2 linked regions of the Pelodiscus sinensis genome follow. The protein of the gene in region 1 binds, or shares a complex with, the protein of each later gene. Links are inferred from orthologs where the notes say so. Each region holds a gene or a part of one and is shown in the gene's direction. Other genes may lie near its edges.

What was found.
Region 2: the proteins of PPP2R5C (region 1) and PPME1 are in contact, whole or in part, in a cryo-EM structure (PDB 7SOY), measured with the Homo sapiens proteins. The link is inferred for Pelodiscus sinensis from reciprocal best matches to the Homo sapiens genes PPP2R5C and PPME1. Residues at the interface, in NP_002710.2 of Homo sapiens: Asp180, His187, Arg188, Tyr190, Gly191, Leu194, Arg197, Ser230, Ile231, Gly234, Phe235, Ala236, Lys240, His243, Asp313, Gln341, Tyr348, Glu353, Tyr354, Glu399; in NP_057231.1 of Homo sapiens: Arg37, Lys38, Arg39, Asn192, Lys217, Val251, Glu252, Gly253, Ile254, Ile255, Glu256, Glu257, Pro345, Gln346.

Annotation. Positions count from the first base shown.
Region 1 is NC_134714.1:22,623,765-22,630,969, reverse strand, and holds the start of PPP2R5C (serine/threonine-protein phosphatase 2A 56 kDa regulatory subunit gamma isoform), read left to right. Parts: upstream 1-4,192; 5' UTR 4,193-4,342; coding exon 4,343-4,369; intron 4,370-6,893; coding exon 6,894-6,959; intron 6,960-7,205.
Region 2 is NC_134711.1:322,164,640-322,172,115, forward strand, and holds the start of PPME1 (protein phosphatase methylesterase 1), read left to right. Parts: upstream 1-4,459; 5' UTR 4,460-4,638; coding exon 4,639-4,736; intron 4,737-7,476. Other genes in the region: C2CD3 (C2 domain-containing protein 3), read right to left, coding at 310-579, 4,167-4,236. UniProt on the Homo sapiens protein: Demethylates proteins that have been reversibly carboxymethylated. Demethylates PPP2CB (in vitro) and PPP2CA. Binding to PPP2CA displaces the manganese ion and inactivates the enzyme.

The DNA of each region.
Region 1 (7,205 bases):
TACAGACGTGGTCTCCTCACTTCAAAAAAGATATTTTGGCCTTGGAAAGGGTTCAGAAAAGGGCAACTAAAATTATTAGGGGTTTGGAACGGGTCCCATATGAGGAGAGGTTAAAGCGACTGGAACTTTTCAGTTTAGAAAAGAGGAGACTGAGGGGGGATACGATAGAGGTATATAAAATCATGAGTGGTGTGGAGAGGGCCGATAAAGAAAAGTTAATTATTAGTTCCCTAAATAGAAGAACTAGAAGACACCAAATAAAATTAATGGGTAGCAGGTTTAAAACTAATAAAAGAAAGTTCTTCTTCATACAGCGTATAGTCAACCTGTGGAACTCCTTGCCAGAGGAGGCTGTGAAGGCTAGGACTATAACAGAGTTTAAAGAGAAGCTAGATAATTTCCTGGAGGTTAGGTCCATAAAAGGCTATTAGCCAGGGGATAAAATGGTGTCCTTGGCCTCTGTTTGTCAGAGGCTGAAGAGGGATGGCAGGAGACAAATTGCTTGTTCATTGTCTTCGGCCCACCCTCTCTGGGGCACCTGGTGCTGGCCACTGTCGGCAGAGAGGATACTGGGCTAGATGGACCTTTGGTCTGACCCAGTACAGTCGTTCTTATGTTCTTATGAAGTTCTATGGTCTTTTTATGCAGGTGGTCACAATGGTTCCATCTGGTCTTAAAATCTATGAATCTATCTTATCATTTATAACAATCCAGTTGCACTGATATGTTTTATGATTAGTGCAGTTCTGAAATTAGGCTATTGTTGATTTCCTCTAGGAGAGTTTGATTTGTAGATAGCTCTGAATAAATTACTGTTTAACCTTTACAGCACAGCAGACCATGTCAGCAGGACAGAGCCTTACTAGAGAATGGCTATAAATAAGATTTATAAATAGGATTCAGTGGGTGTTGGTACCCAGACATTAATTTAAGGATACACCCGAAGAATTATTGACCTCTAATTTGTTTAAGGGTAGTAAATCCATGCTGTTTGAGATACCTTCCCAAAAGCGGGTCATCTTTTTGGCAAAGTAGGATGATAATTCTTTGTAGTGCATGGTGCTGGGTTTTATTATGGGCTCTAGATGCTCAGCATTGATAAAGTGGTTTAGCACTCTTGATCACTTTTTAGGGACAGGATATGGCAGCTTCAACTGAAGCATAAGTTTAGAGAAATTTTTTGTTCAAAGTATCTGTTTCAGCTTTATATTTTTGGTGATTGAGTTGATCCTTTCTTCATTTGGAACTGCACGATAGAAATCCAAGGAGATCTGAGTGCATGATGAGAGGGAATGGTCGGTTTGAGGTTCAATGTGTGCTAGCATGCAATGATAATTATTCACCAGAACCTCTAATCCTTGATGAGTGGGCGGATTGCTGCTATGATTTTGCATGCACTTACATCACATCTTTACTTAAATCTGTGAAGCTTCTGGGGATAGGCAAGTCCTAAGAAAAGGGATTTAAAAAAAATAATGGAATGCCCAGTAAAGATGGGCAGGACTAGATGAGCAAACTTGCTTCCTCGGTAGCATACTGAACATTCTAGTCCAATATCAACTCATTCTTAAATTTCAGTAATTTATAACAGCTAGATTTTGATGCATTATTTTGCAAGTTTAAACTATTTACTATGTATATTCTAATAAATGGTGTTGTTTGTACTGTTTAGGAAGCATTCAGAATGTGGATTGGAGGTGAAGGCACAAGAGTTAACTGCAGCAACTTGTAATTCAGTAATCCGTTGTGGCTTTCAGAAACATCTAGTTTATACTGGGCATGCTCAGACATTAACATAGCTATACTAGTGTAGTCATATATTAAAATTAAATAAACTTTTTTGCATAGTCACTCCCATACTGATAGCAAAATACTTGCTCTCATAGTGATTTATTAGTACAATTAGAAATAGTTTCATTTTAGATTTATTATTGGATCTGGACTTCTAATAATACTCCGGTCATCTGAAGTGAGCTGTGCTCATGAAAGCTCATGATACCATCTACATGTTTTGTTTGTTAGTCTTTAAGGTGCTAGTAGTCTATTTGTTGTTTTTTAAGTTTTTCATTTTAATGTTATGGTGAATATATAAATCAACTGTTTGGTCTCACAGTTCAGGAAGTCACTAGAACAAATAGAATTTATCTTTTATCAACCACCTCAGCCCACTGATTATTGCACACACACTATACTAGATCTGGAAAAATCGAGTCACTTAACTGTTACTAGTGAATGAGATGCTTTCTATAACAAGTAGAACAAGAGGGAAGATGAGACTTTCCACAAAATAAAGGTTTCTAGCCTGGTGGTCACAAAGACAACCTTCCAAATTTTAATGGATGCTCTGCCATCTTTTTGACTTTGCATGCTACAAAATGTGAAATTGCTATTAGGAATCCCAGCAACTAGAATTGAGGTCTGAGCTTCTGTTGCCTGTGGTACTCAGTCTTTGGGAGTGAGTAAAGGTCTTTAAACCTTTCATACTGCCTCTGGCTTCTAAGCATCTAGTACATTTTACTAACCCTTGATAGCAGTACTATAATGACAGATGAATAAGCACTGTCATTCCAGGTTTACAGACATGTTCTGACATTATTCTGTGGGTTAAACTTTCTTCTACTTTTTCTCAGCCAACAGAACATCTGACAAAATTCTAGTTGGATATTTTACAACACGTTCTTCCCATCCATTCATACAGCTGAAACTTGTTTACATTTTCCTCTTGCATCTTGGTTATTACAACGCTTGTCTCTCTGGCCTTGACTCATTTCCATTCAGTTTTATACTACAAAGACCCTTTTCTTAGCCTCACCCTTTTTTCTCTTAACACCTTAGTACTTTCTCCCATGCTTCTCCATAAATATCTGTAAAGTTACCACGATTCCCCCTCAAAATTGTCCTTCAAATTCTTTTTCTATAAAGCCAACAAAAAAATTTACAACAAGACTGATATGCTTTCTTGTACTCCTTATCTGTACCTGTTGTCTTTGTTTTATGCATTAATTGTAAGCTCATTGGAGAAGGAATCATCTTTTTGTTCTGTAGCTTTAACATATCTCACACAATTAAGTCCAGTCTTTGAGCAGAGCTCCTAAGCACTATGGTAATACAATAATTTTAAGATAAACAAGAAAAGATGTTCACTTGTTGAGGATTTGTATTAAAATTATTTGTTTCTATTTCGTTCGGATGGTTCTTTTATATTTCACTTGGATGGATCAAAAAGTAGTTCATTTTCAAACTATAATCTTTGCAGGGAGGTGGGGCTAACAGAATAATGCACGTTTCATCCAACATAAAAGCTCCACTGAAAGAGAAAAGATAATAAATTTAATAGCTTCAGAGGGGTAGCCAAGTTAGTCTGTAACAGGAAAAACTTAAAAAACAACAAATAGTCTAGTAGTACCTTAGAGATTAACAAAACATGTAGATGGTATCATGAGCTTTTGTGGGCACAACCTACTTTTTCAGGTTGTGCCCACAAAAGCTCATGATACCATCAACATGTTTTGTTAGTCTTTAAGGAGCTACTAGACAATTTGTTTTTTAAGATGTAATACATTTAATATAGGCTATCGCCCATGCAGCGTGCACCTTCTCCTCATGGGTTAACTGTGATCACATGCTGGGGTATCTAAGCCCGAGAGACGCTGAGCATCTTCAGCCTCTATGATGATCAATAGGGGAGCCGGTCTTAGGCCGCCTTCTGCTGAAGTCAATATCCAAGTCTGGAAAAACGGAGCCCACAGCAGCCCTCCCGTGAGCAACTGAATCCTCAGCCTATCTCCAGGCGTTGCGCGAAGCTGGGCGAGCGCGGGCTGTGCTTCTGGCCAAGGGCATTACGTGAGCCCCAAAGACAGGCCCATCGGGCGATGTCTGCGTCCCGGGGAAACGGCTCTGCCTGAGGCGCTGGCTACGGCTTTAGTCCGGGGCTCCCCCTCCTTCCGGGCTGGGCCGGAGAAGCGACTCTGCCCCGGGCCCTGCGAGGGGGGCTGCTCTGTCTGAGCCGCGGGAGCAGGAGAGATGCGGGAAGGCGCGAGGCTGGGGCGACCCCGCTAGGAGGCCGCTCCACAGGCACGACCAACTCCCCCAGCCGCCGCCGGGATAGAGACGACCCCGCCCCCTGGCTCACAGAGGGGAGGGGGGGACGTCGGCCCCACGTGACGGGGGACAGCCAATGCCGAGGCGGCGTCCCGGCTCGGCCGGGCGGAGCTAAGGCTGCTGCCGCCGCCGCCGCCGCTGGGAGCCTGAGAGGGGGAAGCGCCTGAGCGGGGCGGGGGAGTCGGAGCGAGGACCCCAGGAGGCTGCGCCGCTCCCGGCCCGGGCGCCCAACTGACCGGCCATGCCGAATAAAAACAAGAAGGAGAAGGCGAGTCAGCCCGGCTGGGGCGCGGAGGGCCCGGGGCCAGGCCCCTGCGGGAGAGGGGCCGTGGGGAGAGCCGCTGAGGGGCGGCGAGCGCCGGGAGAGCTGGGCAGGTCCTGGCCGCGGGGGAGACAGGCGGGCGCTCAGGCGGCGGGGCGGGCTGCCGAGGGACTCCGGGGTGCTCCCTGTGGGAGGCGGCGAGGAACGGGGAAACTCTCCCCGTGGGTGGGCGGTGGGCCTAGCCCAGCCGCTGCTGCCTCTTTTCGCCCAGTTCCTGGGGCCCGACTCACTCCTATTGGGGAGGGGAGAGACTGGGGTTCGTGGCGGAGAGGCAGAGGGGATTTATTGGGGGCGTGAAAGGGTAATGGCTTGGGGCGAGAGTAACGGGAGGTGGCTTTTATCGAGTGTACGTAGGAGTGAGAGGCGAGCTATTAATTTTGGGTCAAGGTGGGTATCTCTGCTTTGTGTGGGAAGGGGTATTTTTAAAGCGGGGCAGGTCTCTGGGGGAGGGGAGGTTATTCTTAAGGTTGGCATCAGTGCATTTTCCTGAGTCTCTTTACTCTGTTGCTTTAATTTCCATATCCCATTGCTTGAAACTGCATTCATAGATCCATCTCCTCCCCAGTGTGATAAAACTGGTCCCGTTTTACAAACAGGGCAACTGAGGCAAAGATGTAGTGACTTGCTTTACATGGCAAAGCAGCCCAACCAGAGCTTTTACCTCAAAAGGGGAGTTGTTCTCAAGAGTCCATGAAGTCCATTGGAGACTTCGTTGTTGCTGTTGATTTTACATGGAAGCTGCTTACATACTGAGATCAGGACAAGTGGGAGTAGAGGGATATAATAGTCAATTAACTAATAGGCAAAAGCTTATTGGTTAATGCTATCAACTACATGCATTTAAATGCAGAGCCGCAATGAGGGACCTACTCCCACTGCGACTCTGCAGTTTAAATGTAATAAGAGTGGGGTGGGCAAGCAGACAGCCTGGCTCTTAATACATTTAAACTGAAAAGCCATAGTGGGAGTAGGTCCCATACCTGGCGAGAGCAGGGGCTGGGCTGGGCTGTCTGCCCACCTGGCTCTTACTACATTTAAACTGCAGAGCCACAGCAGAAGTAGCTCCCATACCCAGCCTGAGCTGGGAGCTTTAACCTCCCTTATCCGTTAATTGTGTAGTTGATAAAAATTCAATCAACTGCATGATTAGTGAATTACCCGCTTCTGTTTGGTGTTAAAGCCAGGAGTGGAACTGAGCTCTTGACTCCCATTCTGTGCCTGTTCCACTACATAGCTCTCTCTACATCTTTGATTTCAGGCAAACCCTTTAAGCAATTTCACATCAGTTCAGTATCATTTGCTTGTGGATTTATCTGTCTTATGATGTTGTTGTTTTTTGTGCCTTAAAATACAAATGCTGCATTGATCCAAAAAATTGTAGACCATTAATGTTTGTATTCCTTTTATTTCCTTTATCATGTAGTGAGAGAAATAGGAGGTGTTAAATGTAGATAAAGCGTTGGATTAAAAACAACTTAAAGTGCAGTCACAGCAGTGTTTTAAATTGAAAGTGTGGCCATGGCATAAATGCTGGGAGAGCTCTTTTTTAGCGCTCTGTTAACCACCTCTGTGAGAAGAGTAAGCTAACAGTGCAGGGAGCACAGCTCCAGGTGCTGTATCACACTGGTGCATTACAGTGCTCTAACTTGCTGTGCTCAGAGGGGTGTGTGTGTGTGTGGTTTTTTTTTCCTCTCCCCCTCCCCACCTCTGAGACAGAAATTTATAGCACTGTAAAGTGCCAGTGTAGATTTGGTCTCATTCATATTGAGGAGAAACTCTTGGGTTACAGATAGGGATGTGAACAACTAGTTGCTTCTCCCCTCCCCCCATTGCTGCCTCTGTCAGAGTCCCCAGCTGACCCTGGGCTCCGTGCGGTGGTTCCACTTTGAAATGCTGCAGGGAACATGGGCCAGTGGGGGATGGCTAATCGCAATTTGCATCAAATATTCATCAATTATTCGATTTGCCAATTAATCAGAATTTTACATTCCTAGTAATAGACCCAGTTTTAACATTGGGTTTTTAGCTGCTGTTGCAGTTACGTAGATGGAAACATCTGTATAGGCATGGTACAGTGCTGTATACCATGGCTTGGTCTAGAACAGGTTACCCTGGATTCAGAGCTACACTAAAGGCTAAAAATAAAGGGTAGATCAAGGCTGATTTACTGTGCCTTTGTGCATACCGTTTGCACTCTGCCTTAGTTTTCTTAAGCAATTTTCATGAATTAATCTTATGGGTATGTTGTGAGGAATAACTACTGTTTTTAAAGTATTTTGAAGGTGTGAGAATTTGTACAATTTCTAAGACTGAAATTGTAATTGTATAATTACATTTCTAGGCTTTAATCTTCTGTAATGCATATTTTCATGCAGATCTCTGGTCAATCAGTTACTTGACTGAAAAAGTATTTGATTCTGTTTGAAATTAAGCTTGATGCTGGAAAAACTTACAAATGTTTAATTTTCAGGAACCTGCAAAATTGGGCAAAAGTGGAAAAAGTGGTAAAGATGGACAAGATAACCAAGAACATGAGGTAATTATTGTCATAGCATCTGGTCTACTCAACTATTCTCACAAAGAACACTTTTCAAGAGTATAATCTTTCCCACATTGATATAACTTAGATGGTAGCTGTTTGGTTTTTTGGAAACCACTAGGACGACTTTGACAGAGAAAAGATGTTTTAAAAAGGTGCATACAACTTTTGAAAAGTGCTTGCAATGAAATGAAGCCAACTATGGTTGGTCCTTGATGTAGGGATGTAAGTGACTAGTCAACT
Region 2 (7,476 bases), on another chromosome or scaffold:
TAGAAGACACAGGTCTCTCACTATGTCCTTTGAATCCTTTTTCCATGGTCAGTCTATAAGGATATTTAAGAACCATCAGTACTGTGCGATAGTTTTTAATTTTTATGGTTCTCCTGATGATTCAATGCCCTTTGAAATATGAAACATGAAACACACTACATAAAACCATATTCTAGATTCACTAACAATAAAATTAAGGGGTTATTTTTACACATGAACGCACTTTGCAATTACTGATGAAGTCTACTGAACAGATGTCATGATAGAAATTTCAACTGCAAAATTAATACAGAGCATACACTACTGTACCTGTCAGGTAAGATGCAAACTGTTTTGGTCCACAACGGATTGCATAGTGGGTGGTGGTTTTCACTGCTTTTTGCTCAGTCTGTGAAGTATTCCTGGGAATAAAAAGCGTGCCATCTGATGTTTCCCCCCACCACCTCACTCGGATGAGAACAGTAGCAGGCGGCTTAGAGACCATCCACAAGATTTTACTGACTGTTAACTTCAGAAAGCAGCGCAACTGGCCTTCAACAAGAGGTGGTAAACTTGTAGAAGGGGAGATATCACTGATTCCTGCAGAGATACAAAAAAGAAACAGTATTACTTCTCAAAAACATAAATGCAGTTAACATATTCGAGATACAGATCACTTTATAGAGTTAAAAAAATACTTGGTGTTTCTAATATTCTATGCCACACTTAGGGTTACCCTATAGATGCATATAACATTACAGCCTACAACATGGCTACTCAACGCACGGCCCATAATATCAGCGGCCTGCAGCCTGTCTGTTTGCTGCCTGCGTTGTGGTTTGGGTTTACATGGGGCTCAACACGTGGCTTGCGGGTGGGATCTTTTGAACCTGGCCTCCACTGGGAACACGCTCCACAACGGCGAGTCAATATAATGATCTTCTGTTGATATACATTTTAGTAGTTAAATTCCTGGACTGTCATTGCTCATTAAGGGCATGTCTACACTGCAACACTATTTGGAAATAACTAGCACTATTCTGAAATAACTTAGTCCATGTCTACACAGCAGGCAGTTATTTCGAAATAGTGTCAAAATACTGTCAAGCTAGAGGGTTTCTTACTCCGACTCCTGGAGTGAGGGAAGTTGGAGGAAGAGCACTGTATTTCAAAATAAGTGCTGTGTAGATGCTCCCTATTTCAAAATAAGATTCACAATTGATGTAGCATAATTTGCGTAGCTTATTCGAGTTAAGCCGTGCAGTATAGATGCACCCTAAAAGTGCTGTCATATGGGTGGTAATTGGGTAAATATTGCATTTTATTAATATCAACAGATCTGACTTAAATGGGGCCTAAGTGTTGTGTAATCTTGCCTTAATCTTTGTATTCATGCCCATCAGTGTGAAAGAAGCTATTTGCATGTATATACAACCACACTTCAGTTGCAGCCCTCAACATGTACTGTAAGTATCATTATGGGCCCCAGGGCTTCCAAAATTGAGTAGCTCTGGCCTAACAACATATGTACATGGCAAGTTTTTGGCATTACTGTAACACACCTCATGTTCACATCAGGGATGTAAGGGACTAAACAACTTGCTTCCCCCCTCCCCTTGCTGCCTCTGTGTCAAGGTCTGCAATGAGGGGGAAGCAGAAGCCGGTGTGAGGGGAGGAGGAGGGGAGGCAGAGCCACAGGGGTTCCAAAGCCAGGAGTGCAGAGCGACAGCAGAGGTAGCGAGCCCCACCACGCCTTTATCAGCTAATCAAGTAGCTGATTATCCGCAATTTAACATCCGTAGTTCACATACAAAATATATTGCAACATATATATACTGCTTAGTGAGGAGGGAGAAGCAGTAACAGGAAACTTGGAAATGGCAGAGATGCTCAATGACTTCTTTGTTTCGGTCTTCACCGAGAAGTCTGGAAGTGTGCCTAACATAGTGAATACAAGCAGAGAGGGTAAGTTTAGAAGATAGGATACACAAAGAACAAGTTAAAAATCACTTAGGAAAGTTAGATGTCAGCAAGTCACCAGGTCCTGATGAAATGCATCCCAGGATACTCAAGGAGCTGATAGAGGAGGTATCTGAGCCTTTAGCTATGATTTTTGAAAAATCATGGCAGACAGGGGAGATTCCAGAAGACTGGAAAAGGGCAAATATTGTGCCCATCTATAAAAAGGGGAATAAGAACAACCCAGGAAACTACAGACCAGTCAGTTTAACTCTGTCCCAGGGAAGATAATGGAGCAGGTAATTAAAGAAATCATATACAAACACTTGGAAGGTAATAAAGTGATAGGGAATAGCCAGCATGGGTTTGTGAAGAACAAGTCATGCCAAACTAATCTGATAGCTTTCTTTGATAGGATAACGAGCCTTGTGGATAAGGGAGAAGCGGTGGATGTCATATACCTAGACTTTAGTAAGGCATTTGATACGGTCTCGCATGATATTCTTATTGATAAACTTGGCAAATATAACTTAGATAGGGCCACGATAAGGTGGGTGCATAATTGGCTGGATAACCGTAGTCAGAGAGTTGTTGTTAACAGTTCTAAATCCCGCTGGAAAAGGATAACAAGTGGAGTTCCTCAAGGGTCTGTTTTGGGACCCGTACTGTTCAATATCTTCATCAATGATGTAGATATTCAGATAGAGAGTACGCTTATTAAGTTTGCAGATGATACCAAACTGGGTGGGGTTGCAACTTCTTTGGATGATAGGGACATAATTCAAAATGTCCTTAGCAAGTTAGAGAAATGGTCAGAGGTAAACAGGATGAGGTTTAATAAAGAGAAATGCAAAGTGCTCCACTTAGGAAGGAACAATCAGTTCCATACATACAAGACGGGAAGTGACTGTCTAGGAAGGAGCATGGCGGAAAGGGATCTAGGGGTCATAGTGGACCACAAGTTGAATATGAGTCAACAGTGTGATGCTGTTGCAAAAAAAGCAAATATTATTCTAGGTTGTATCAACAGGTGTGTTGTAAGCAAAACTTGTGAAGTCATTCTGCCGCTCTACTCTGCACTAATTAGGCTTCAGCTGGAGTACTGCGTCCAGTTCTGGGCGCCACATTTCAAGAAAGATGTGGAGAAATTGGAAAGGGTACAGAGAAGAGCGACAAGAATGATTAAAGGTTTAGAGAACATGACCTATGAAGCCAGGCTTCATGAACTGGGCTTGTTTAGTTTGGAAAAAAGAAGATTAAGGGGGGACATGATAGCAGTTTTCAAATATCTAAAAGGGTGTCACAAGGAGGAAGGAGAAAATTTGTTCCTCTTGGTTTCTGAGGACAGGACAAGGAGTAATGAGCTTAAAGTGCAGCAAGGGAGGTTTAGATTGGACATTAGGAAAAAATTCCTAACTGTCAGGGTGATCAAATATTGGAATAAATTGCCAAGGGAGGTGGTGGAATCTCCCTCTCTGGAGATATTTAAGAACAGGTTAGATAGACATCTGTCAGGGATGGTGTAGACGGAGCTTGGTCCTGCCTTGAGGGCGGGGGGCTGGACTCGATGACCTCTCGAGGTCCCTTCCAGTCCTATTATTCTATGAATACACATTCACACCACCGCTGAGACTGTGACTGCAAAACCAACCCTAAGCCACAATGAAAATCGGAAAGTGGTGATGTTACAACTTGTCTGCCCAGCACCACTCTGCAACACGCCCCCCTACCCTTCAGTGAAAGGCCTCCTAGGGCGATTGATGGACAAACTGCAGATCTCTTCTACATCTCCACGCCTATAGCCTCTCCCGACTCCAATGTGCCCTCGGGGTACGTGTTGCGCCAGCAGTGTTACTCCCTATTGCCGATATGGTTGTAAGTACCCACCAAGACCCATATGGCAACTCCCAGCCCTCTGCGGCACCGCAAGGGCACACCCCACATTATAATCCACACAGGCCGCCATGTACCTGCCACCCCCCACAGAGCGCCAAGGTGCTGGCCCCCAGAATCGCGACCCTCCACAGCGCGCAGGGTGCTGCCCCCCCTTCAGATGCCCATCAGAAGATCTGCCCTCTCCTACGGGGCCCGGAGCACCCACCACTACGTGACCGGCGCCACCCACTGCTCGGGGGCCCGCTGCGCCCCGGGGCACCGCCTCCCCGGCTACCGCCCCCGGCCCCGGGGGCCACCCCCCGGCAGCTGCTGCCCCCGCGCAGGGTTCTGACCTCTCCTCTTGCGGGCGGCCCCGCCGCCTCCCACCCTGGGAGCGGGGCCCTTGGGCCTCTTCTGCTTCATCCCCACCCCCCAGCCGCTCCCCCGCGCCAGGCGCGGCCCGCAGCTACCGCCGCTGCCCGGCAACCGCCGCCGCCGCCGCCTCAGCCCGCCGCGGGGCCCGCTGGGACAGGGCGGGAGAGTCTCCGAGCCGCAAGCAGAGCCGCGCAAGCGCACAGCCCAGCGGTAAGAACAACAATCCCCAGGGGGCGCTGCGGCCCCGCTTCCGGCTAAAGAAGATCGCGCGAGGACGGGCACTTCCGGCAGGGGAGGCGCTCCCCGGCATGAGCCCTACCCGGGGGCGGACTCCGTTTCCCGTGGTGCAGTGGGGCGTGGCAGCAGGCACTTCCGGCGCCGGTGGGTGGGGGTAGCCGCTGCTGGCTCGGCGGGGTGATACCTGCCCTTGTGTCTCGGCGTCTTCCCATCATGTCGACCCTGGAGAAACATCTGCACCTGGGCCGCCTGCCCCCACGGCCCGCTGTGCCCGGCGGGGGCGGCCAGTCGGGATCCAAGATGCGCATGGGGTAGGTGGGGGAGCGGGCAGGCGGCGCTGGCCCCCCCGGCGGGGAGGGTCCCTGTCCGGGGCTGGCAGAGCCGGCTGGAGACGGGGGCGGGCTGAGTCTAGGTCACTGATCCCGGGGCGGGAGGGGCGGGGGTTGGGGGGAGACGGGCATTTTACCACTGGGAAGTTGGAGACCAGCAGAGGAGGCGGGGGCGCCTGTTGCGGGGGGATGGGCAGAGGGGGCGGGGGTTGCTGGGGGGATGGACAGAGGAGGCGGGGGAGCCTGTTGGGCGGGGGTTGCTGGGGGGATGAGCAGAGGAGGCGGGGGAGCCTGTTGGGCGGGGGTTGCTGGGGGGATGGGCAGAGGAGGCGGGGGAGCCTGTTGGGCGGGGGTTGCTGGGGGGATGGGCAGAGGAGGCGGGGGAGCCTGTTGGGCGGGGGTTGCTGGGGGGATGGGCAGAGGAGGCGGGGGAGCCTGTTGGGCGAGGGTTGCTGAGGGGATGGGCAGAGGAGGCGGGGGCGCCTGTTGCGAGGGTTGCTGGGGGGATGGGCAGAGGAGGCGGGGGCGCCTGTTGGGCGGGGGTTGTTGGGGGGATGGGAAGAGGAGGCAGGGGAGCCTGTTGCGGTGGGCGGAGGGGGTGGGCAGAGGAGGCGAGGGGTGCCTCTTGTGGTGGGGTGGGCAGAGGAGCTTTACATTTTGGAACCTTATGTCCTCGTGTTGCAAGTCTTTTTTAATTTGCTGGTTGGGGCCTTTTTTAACAGGGCGACAGGCACACAGACTTTAATTTTGTACTTTGAGGGAGACTGGCCAAGGAGGTGAGGGTCTCTGTTGTGGGGTGAGGAGAGAGTTGTTGCAGGTGGGAGGATGCTGGTTGTGCAGCGGTAATGGGGATTGGCAGAAGGAGGCGAAGATATCCCTTGTAGGGTGGATAGGGATTGACAGGACAGGCAAGGGTGCCAGTTGTGTGCAAGGGGACATTTGGGACATTTACATCAGGTATGGGAGAGGAATTTAACATATTAACTTGAGATGTGTTTCAGCAGATTGAACAGTTTCACTAGAGGGTAACTTGACACTAATAATTATAATAGTTTTTGTTGGAAATTCAGTCTTGAATAAGGATATTCACAAATGTCTATGAGATGTTTATGGACCTGGCTTATCAGGCCATCTGCCTGTTGACATGAAGAAAATTAGATGAACCAGTACTACTGTGTGAAGCTGGGTGGTAGTTGAACTCTGCCAGGCAAGTAAGTCCTTGCTGAGCAATCTGCCACCCGGGATAGCACAATGCAGAGCAAACAGGTATCAGCTTTATAAACAAATTTAAATGTATTAGTAGGGGACTGTGCCCCCAGGCACCAAGGAGGGCTGGGCTGCTGCCATGCCAGCCCAGGTCCCTTCGCCCTTCTCCCCTTCCTTCCCCCACCGGCCTGGGTCACTTCTCCCTCCCCCAACTCTAACCCTCCCTCTCCTGGCCGCATGGTGTGCTAGGCCCAGCTGTAGTCCCAGCAGCTGGGGAGGTGCAGGATTGGCTGCCTGCCCTGCGTGGGGCATAGTGAAGCATAGGTAGTGCCGTGTGCACACGAAGCTCCGGGGCACTGCAGCCTCTTATGGTGGGGCAAGCTGCCACAGGTGGGCTGCTGTTCCGACCTCTCCCCTGTGTGGTCCTGCCTGTGCTGCTCACTGTCCCACCCCTGCCTGAAGAGCCCAGGGCTGCGTAGGTACCCGCCGGGAGCAGAAAGGAGGAGCAGACAGGTTTGTGTGGTGGCTCGGGGGGTGCTCTGACAGCTGCGGTAAGTGCAGCTGCTGGGGAGGGGGTAAGTCTCTGTGGGGCATCTGGAGTTCAGGCAGTCAGGCACCTTACTCGGGCTCCCCAAGAGCCTGGGGGCAGGGAGACCCTCGAGCCTGCTTCTGGCACTCAAGCCTGACTGGGAGCCCCTCTCCTAATGCTTGTCCCTGGCTGCTGTCTCTCTTCTCTCTCCACCCGCGACCCCCCCCCCCCCCGGACCTGGGCTGTCATGGCTGCCATGTGGGGTCTGCTGGCTACTGTGCCATGTTTCTTGGCATTGAAAGCCCTGTGGGGTGAGGGTGGAGAAAGGGGAGTAGGGGCTTGGTTTAAAATAGCAATTCCAAGTGGCATGGGGAAGCAGTGAGGTCGGGCTCAAGCTGGGATATGGGGGAGAGAGGGAGGAGGCAGGCTGGGCACAGAGTGACATGATGATGTCAGTCTGTCGTCCTGCAGGAAAAGCTTTTTAATATAGAGACAGAGATGAGAGCTAAGCCCTAGTCAACACTTAAAATTTAGAGCAGCCTTGCTCCATGACTCATGGAGATGAAAAATTTATTCCCAAGTGCTATGGTTCAGCTAGATGCAGTTAGCTCAACAGAATTCTTCTGTCAGCTTAGCTCGATTACCTATGTGAATTGAAAAACCTTTCATTGACACTGGAAGTGTCTACCCTATGGAGCTGCAGCTCTGCTGCTGTAGTGTAGATGTGCCCTGAGAGAGAAAGAGTGGCTAATGTTTTTTGTGAGGCTCTTCCAGATGGAGGAGAGATGAAAGAAAGGAAATGGTTAGGAAAGACTCTTGGCAGGAGCATAGTAATAGAGATGGTAAAAGGGAGATGATAGGCTGGAATTAAGGGCACTTTTAAATGTGAGAGGAAAAATCTTGAGCTTTTATATGGAAGAAAAGGAGGTGTCCAAGTTAAGGACATGCTTATAACATTCTGAGAGGAATGTCATCTTGACAGTAGGG